Linked DNA regions of Cricetulus griseus. The protein of the gene in region 2 interacts with the protein of the main gene of each other region in a biochemical or structural test. Links are inferred from orthologs where the notes say so. Each region holds a gene or a part of one and is shown on either strand. Other genes may lie near its edges. The genes, in order: Ang and Rnh1.

What was found.
Region 1: the proteins of Rnh1 (region 2) and Ang are reported together in a solved structure, tested with the Homo sapiens proteins (3 studies listed by BioGRID and IntAct, with this or other methods). The link is inferred for Cricetulus griseus from reciprocal best matches to the Homo sapiens genes RNH1 and ANG.

Annotation. Positions count from the first base shown.
Region 1 is NW_023276807.1:206,774,333-206,778,632, reverse strand, and holds the start of Ang (angiogenin), read right to left. Parts: upstream 2,876-4,300; 5' UTR 2,737-2,875; intron 1-2,736. UniProt on the Homo sapiens protein: Secreted ribonuclease that can either promote or restrict cell proliferation of target cells, depending on the context. Endocytosed in target cells via its receptor PLXNB2 and translocates to the cytoplasm or nucleus.
Region 2 is NC_048596.1:60,018,628-60,021,604, forward strand, and holds part of Rnh1 (ribonuclease inhibitor), read left to right. Parts: intron 1-878; coding exon 879-1,049; intron 1,050-1,413; coding exon 1,414-1,584; intron 1,585-2,084; coding exon 2,085-2,255; intron 2,256-2,330; coding exon 2,331-2,501; intron 2,502-2,578; coding exon 2,579-2,749; intron 2,750-2,976; coding exon 2,977-2,977. UniProt on the Homo sapiens protein: Ribonuclease inhibitor which inhibits RNASE1, RNASE2 and angiogenin (ANG). May play a role in redox homeostasis. Required to inhibit the cytotoxic tRNA ribonuclease activity of ANG in the cytoplasm in absence of stress.

The DNA.
Region 1 (4,300 bases), on a different chromosome or scaffold from region 2:
TGACAAAATGTAAAGTGTTTCAGAAGGACAGAGAAGCAATAGTATCGGGGACCTTCAAGGTGAGACCTCTACTGATATCCAGCTAAGCACCGGAATGTTCAGTGTGCAAACATACCTATTTGATGTATGATCACACATCACTTTTTAAGCAGATGTGGAAGAACTGAGCTCTAGAATCATCAACCACTCATCTGTTAGAGGAGAACAGCCAAGTGTATTGCAACACCAGGATGGCCTCATCAGCCCCCAGGGGACATACCAGCCAACTCCCTTAGCCAGAGTTGACCTATCAGTGAGGCCCTTTCTGGTAAACAGCTGCAAAGCAGACACTTCACCCTAACCCACAGCACACACACCACCTTGTCCAAACAGAGCCGCCTCTTTTCTTCAGAACTGTGTAAGAATGCCACAGAGTAACCAAAGGGACATCACAGCAGTCAAGGCCCTTCTCTGAAGTGGCCGGCCCCTCACCTGCCAGCTCGGAGGATTTAGAACTTGCTCATTTCCTTGACAAAAGGCCAGGAATTTTTTTTTTTTTTCAAGTTGGCACATATTGAAACAGAAATGGGTATTTTTAAATTTTGTATTTTATTAAGGCTCAAAGAATTATAGTCTATGAACGAGGAACGTGTGTGTGTGTGTGTGTGTGTGTGTGTGTGTGTGTGTGTGTGTGTGTGTGTTGCTAAGGTTCAGACCCAGTACCTCAGACACGCTGCTTAGACTACAACTGAGCCACACCCCTGGGCCTGAATATTATATCTTTGTCAGTAATTTTAACTCATATAAAACAACTGCCAATTTTAAAAAATATTCACTTAAAAAGTTTTAACCACCTGGGCAGTGGTGGTGCATGCCTTTAATCCCAGCATTCAGGAGGCAGAGGCAGATGGAACTCAGAGAGCTGAGTTCGAGGCCAAGCTTTTCTATAGAGTTAGTTCCAGGACAGGATATAAAGTTTTTGAATTTTGAATGAGTCATGCCATTCTCCTTCCAAGAATTGTAGTGTTTGGACATTTCCCCCCTTTATATGGAGTATGTACATTTGACTCTGTCCTTAGGACTCATTGAAGAATCAAGTGTGGAAGGTATGAGTGAACTGTGTAAATTCCTTTACAATGCTAACTTAACACTTAATCAGTGACAGAAGCAACAACTAAAAGAGAAAAGCTCACTGGACTAGGGCTTGAGAAAGTGGGTTCACCCATGGTTGAGGGAGGGAGATTGGGAACAAATTCCTGATGACTTCCCTGAATCTCCAAACAAGATACAAATTAAACATTCACTTTCCAGCACACGGGGCTTTGGCCTATTCCTGGCTTCCAATTATTCTCAGAATAACTGTTTACAGAGATTGCTCTCTGCTCAAATACAGATACAATGGAAAATCTCAAGAGCTGTTTCACCAGCCTGCATCAGGACTCTTTCTGATCCATGATTGGAGTCATACTAATAATGCCTCAGACAAACAGTCCATGGGATTCAGAGAGAATAAGGATGAGACAGAAGCTCATGGGAGCTCTGCACCCCACAAAGCTGAGACACTGATGAACTAACTCATGATGCTTTCAGGCCTATCTCTGACCCTGGCCATAGCTAGCCTGCTTTTTCTAAACAACCCCTGTTAAACTACAGCTCAACTCCACATTATCCAAAATCGTGTTAAAGATGACAACAGGCGGTTGCTTATGACAATCTCTCTGACCTTCACTTTACAGATGAGGAAGGAAATTGAGAAACAAAGAAACGGACATTAATTGACCAAGGAACATTTGGCATTCCTGTGATTAGACACTTTCTAATGTACAATATGACTTTTACATCCCATTGCAATGATTTCTAGAAACATCATTGATTTTTAAAGCAACACTAAAAAATCATTTAAAGAAAACCAACACTGATTATTTCCACAAATCTCCCAAATATTTGACTTCCCCTTTTATCAGCGAAGAGTTTCTTGAATTAAAGCCGGTGTGACTAGCAAGCTGGCCCAGCGCTGAGTGGTGCGCTGCTCTTTGAATAGCTCTTTCAAGAGTTGCCGGGCTTTCGGGAGTTGGCCAGGAGCTGTTCAGATAGATAAGGCTACTGAGGTTTCTAGCGATTGCATGTATGAACTAACTGTAAAAATTACTGCCGTCACAGAGGGAAGATCCTGCTGGACCACTGGAGATGTCCCAGTGTAAGGACGTAGCTCCTATTTGCACTGGCACTTCAGAGCAAGAGAATCCCAACCGCCCACTGACAAGGCATGGAGGAGGCTACTGACGCTTGTCTCCAAAAGTTACACAACCCACTTAAGGGTGAGCTAAGGGCTCGCGGGGGTCAGGAAATAGAAAAAGAAAAACACTAGCCCTCAAATGTTAAGTCATGCCTGCACAACCTTGACAGGCCTTTTCCACAAATCTGATGCCAACCCAGGAACCCTCAGATCTTCCTTATCTGAGCAAACGCGGGCGGGGTTCCTGGAACTCCTCCCTTGGCAGATTCTGTGGTCCCCTCTGAGTCTGGGTTCTAGACAAAGGCATCCACGCCGGACTCTGCCAAGCTGAGGAGAGGGAACTGTGGAAAGAGTATTGCCAACTCTGGCAAGAGTTGATACCTGCCACACCTCAGCTCCGAAATCAATCAGACCCGAAAAGTGGTCTCCCAGGACCCCCACAACTGCCCTTGCTTGGAAAGGAGTTCCACAGACAAAACCGCTCCTGGCCAAACTATGGAGGAGCAGGAGTAGAAACCCACCTGGCGCGGAACTGGAGGCGGCGACTTTATTTCTCACCCTTTTTTCCTAGTGGGATTCCGAATAGTAGAAATGCAATTTCCTTCGGAATCTCGTCGCGGATATGGGTGAGGTCGGCGTTGCCTGGCCACGCAAACAGACTGGGGCCGGGTGCAGAGGAGCGGAGGGTGGGCGTTCCAGCCTCGGTGGCTGGGACCGCACCCCATTTCTCCAAGGATGCCCCTCCCCGCTGGGCCTGCTTGCAGAACTCAAAGAAGTAACCCCAGACTCCTTCCTAGCAGGGAACCAGTGTGAGTTCTACACAGGAACCAAACTGGCAGATGTCCGGAGGACCTCTACGAGGAACACAAGCCGCAGACGCTCCATGACACAGGGGGACCCTGTGAGGTTGCCCGGGGAAAGCTCCAGGAACCCCCAAATTTAGTATTTGCATAGTCCTGTGATACCATCTCTTTCTGTAGGATAGTTGTAACTGGAGAAAGTTTGTAGAGAAGTGAACCATATCCAATTACTAAAGAATGTAAAATTGCAGGGCTCGTCCGGGATTTGAACCCGGGACCTCTCGCACCCAAAGCGAGAATCATACCCCTAGACCAACGAGCCGTGATGCAGTCCTGCTATTTGCAGTCTATCTGTCTATCCTAAACATTTTGGCGTTCCGATGGCTGTCAGGATGCATTGATAACCGTCTCTTTCTTTCTTTCTTTCTTTCTTTCTTTCTTTCTTTCTTTCTTTCTCTCTACAGGTTTTGTTCTGCAAATCAGAGTCCTGCGGGCCAATAGAACACTGAAAACATGCACACAAGCGTGTCCACGAGGGTCTGTACCTTGTAGTCTTTGGTGTCTGGACTTAGGACATAGGACAGCAAAGCAGGCTCAGTTAGAAACTAAAAGTAAACAATGAAAACGGCCAGGAACCAAATTCCAAGTTGTGCGCTTTTTCCTTGTTGTAACGGTGTGATTAGCACTACATAATCAGAGACCGAGCAAGACCTATTGTATCCTTTCTCAGGAGCGGGGTTGCTAGTAAGGACGGTCTCTATTCGGATTTTGAACAAAGGACTAGAGATTAACTTCGAGGGTTGAAAGCCCAAAACGTAGGCTACTCCTTCGAGCCGGAATCGAACCAGCGACCTAAGGATGGCTGTCATATACTCTACAGTCCTCCGCTCTACCAGCTGAGCTATCGAAGGGAAGCACAACGCTCTATTCTCTGAGGGCGGTGTTCAGTCGGTAGGCAACCACCTAGCGGTGAGGACAGAGCCTTGCAACAGCGCTCGGTGTGCGGCGGGCGGCCAGTGCGGGAAGCTGCATTCACCCTGCCAGATCCGCCGACCTGTTTCACCCTGGCTTTGCAGACGCAGCCACAGCTCTGCGGGTGTCCGCCTGGGAGGAGGGTGGGGGGTGCACGCATGCATGCGGTGACGCGGACTCCAGAGATCCGAGAACGTGCGCCCCGCACCCGGACCGCGCGGCATTGCGCTCCCGCTCTGCGGGCGGGACGGCATCGGGTGCCACCGCAGCTAGGAAACCCAGGGGCTGGAGGCGCGGCTTGGTGGTGGCGCCG
Region 2 (2,977 bases):
CCTGTCCACATTTGTCCGTCTGTCCATTTCTGACTGAGAAGGGGAATTGGTACCAGCCCTCCTCACTAGGCTCTCAGGTTCTTCCCAGGCAAGAGATAGGTAGCTGCTGCATGCTCATCTTTCCCGGGATAGTTTTAGGTTTGCCACAGAGTCAGTCAGGCAATTAGGCATCCCCAGCCCTCCATCAGCCTCCCATGACCATGTCCCAAGACTCTCATGCTGCCTAGCACTGCTAGTCAGATACGGGTTCCCAGCTTTGTCCTGTGACTTGCCCCATTCTTAGTGGCTTAGGAACCCACATGACTTTTACTGATTATCTCATTAGCCCCTTCTGTAGGGTTCCTCTTCCTCTTGTCCTAGTTAACTTTGAGTTTGAGTCTGGATACCTTGCATATGTTCCCTTGGGTAATCTGAGGGCTCTTTGCAGTGGTCATGTGCTTTTGGAGAGTGTGGAGACACTATGGGTGTGGCCTGTTACACTGTCCTGGGTATACAGTGTCCCCATGTGGACATAAATGAGTCATAACTTGCTGTGGTTCATCATAGACTCAAGCTGCTGCAGCTCTGATCAGGTCTGAGTTCCTCTGCCAGCTATCAACATCCGTTGCTACCTTCCCCACCCCTACTCTCAGTGTTGGATCTTTGTGCAAGCTAGGCTTTTTTGTTTGAGAAAGCTTTCTCCCACTGTATAGCCCAGACTGAGTTAGAGCTTGGTGATCCACCTGCCACCACAAATGCCTGTTTCAAGTTTAAACATTGTAGTTATAATCCACATTTGATCTCTTGGCTCCTGATGGGTCCTATCACCTATCATGTGAGATGGTGTGGTGGTTGGGTCTGAGGCCAGCACCATGCTGATCCAGGGGTTCTGTCTGCAGGTTGGATGACTGTGGTCTCACTGAGGTGCGGTGCAAAGACATCAGCTCAGCCATTCAGTCCAACCCCACCCTAACAGAGCTCAGCCTATGCACCAATGAGCTGGGGGACCCTGGCGTGTGCCTGGTACTCCAGGGCCTGCAGAATCCCACCTGTAAGATCCAGAAGCTAAGGTAAGCCAGGGGCTCAGCTCAGTCTATTCAGGGCAGAACCTGAAGTGGCAAAGTAGGCAGCTGTGATGTAGAAAGCCACTGAGAGGTGTGTGAGGTAGGAAGGGATAGGCTGTGGTAATAGGCACTCCCAGCTCCATCCAGAACAACACAGGTAAGTATGAAGTGCAGGGACAGGCCACATTATGGCTATCTTCTAGGCCCTAGCCCCAAGAGAGAATCTGGCTGAGCCACACTGGTATCCTCCTTTGGCCTGGGACCCCATCTAAAGGAAAAGTAGTGCCCCAACCCCTGTAAGGTGTGGTGGGAGCTCTGGCAGGTATGGGCTGAGTCTGTTCATGGCTGCTACTGATGGCATGTGCTTCAGCCTGCAGAATTGCAGCTTGACCGAGGCTGGCTGTAGGGTCCTGCCTGATGTGCTACGTTCTTTACCTACCCTGCGGGAGCTACATCTCAGTGATAATCCTCTGGGAGATGCAGGTCTGAAGCTGCTCTGTGAAGGACTTCTGGACCCCCAATGCCGCCTTGAGAAGCTTCAGTGAGTGTTACCTTGCCAGGATCCCTGTGCTCTTTGCTGCCTCTTACCCAGAGCCCAGCCAGCCATCCTCAGTAAGCCTCACACCAGTACTGTGGATAAGAACCTTAGACGGGACTCCTAGGATTTGAGGGGCTCTCCTTTGCTAGGGGCTGGCAGATGACCTAGCCTCTGAGAGTAGGAACTGATACTGGTGGAGTCTGGCTTGATTCTGTAGTGTGACCCCAGATGGCCTGAAGATACTCTCCAGAGGAACTTGTATCTTTCTGCTGGTTCTGGGAGAGCCTCAGATTTTGAGGTGGGGCACTTTTCAGTAAAAGTTTCCTGAGCCATGTTGGTGTCCACATGAGCCTGAAGGCTGTAGGTATCATTGTGTCTGACCAGATGAGGCCTGAAGAAGCAATGTGAAATGAGATGCCAGCAATCTCTTGTTTCCCTGATACCAAGTTTCTAGGCCCATCCTTAATCCTTTTGATGTGCCTGAGACCTCTGCCTGCCCCCAGGTTGGAATACTGTAACCTCACAGCTACCAGTTGCGAGCCTCTGGCTTCAGTATTTAGGGTGAAACCCAACTTCAAGGAGATAGTGTTGAGCAACAACGACCTCCATGAGGCTGGTGTCCAGATGCTGTGCCAGGGCTTGAAGGACTCTGCCTGTCAACTGGAGTCACTCAAGTATGTACTAAGCCACAGAGGCTAAGGGGTAGGGGCAGGCACCAGTGCTTCTCTCATTATGTCCTATGTCTCCAGGCTGGAGAACTGTGGTATCACATCAGCCAACTGCAAGGATCTGTGCGATGTCGTGGCCTCCAAAGCCTCACTACAGCAACTGGACCTGGGCAGCAACAAGTTGGGTAATGCAGGCATTGCCGCACTGTGCTCAGGACTGCTGCTCCCCAGCTGTAGGATCAGAACTCTGTGGTGAGTCAGCTGCTAGACTTTCCATGGAGATGGGTACATGGTGAGAGACATCCTTCAAGAATGTTGATGTCCCACAGGTTGTGGGAGTGTGATATCACTGCAGAGGGCTGCAAGGACCTGTGCCGTGTCCTCAGGACCAAGCAGAGCCTGAAGGAACTCAGCCTGGCTGGAAATGAGCTGAGAGATGAAGGTGCCCAGCTGCTGTGTGAAAGTCTGCTGGAGCCTGGCTGTCAGCTGGAGTCACTGTGGTGAGCGGGCCTGAGGTTCTTCTATGACAGAATGGGGAATGGGCAGAAATGCAGAAAGGCTAGGGTGGAGTGAGGTTTGGGAGCAGCTGAGGACAGCGCTGGGCTGAGGTGTAGGTACACAGAGGATGAGAGATTGGGAAGGGGTTGGTGAGCCATCTGGGTTCCTTATGAACCTCCAAGGAAAGGGCTAGTTGGAGCTATTGGCTCCAGCCTTTCTGTTCCCACAGG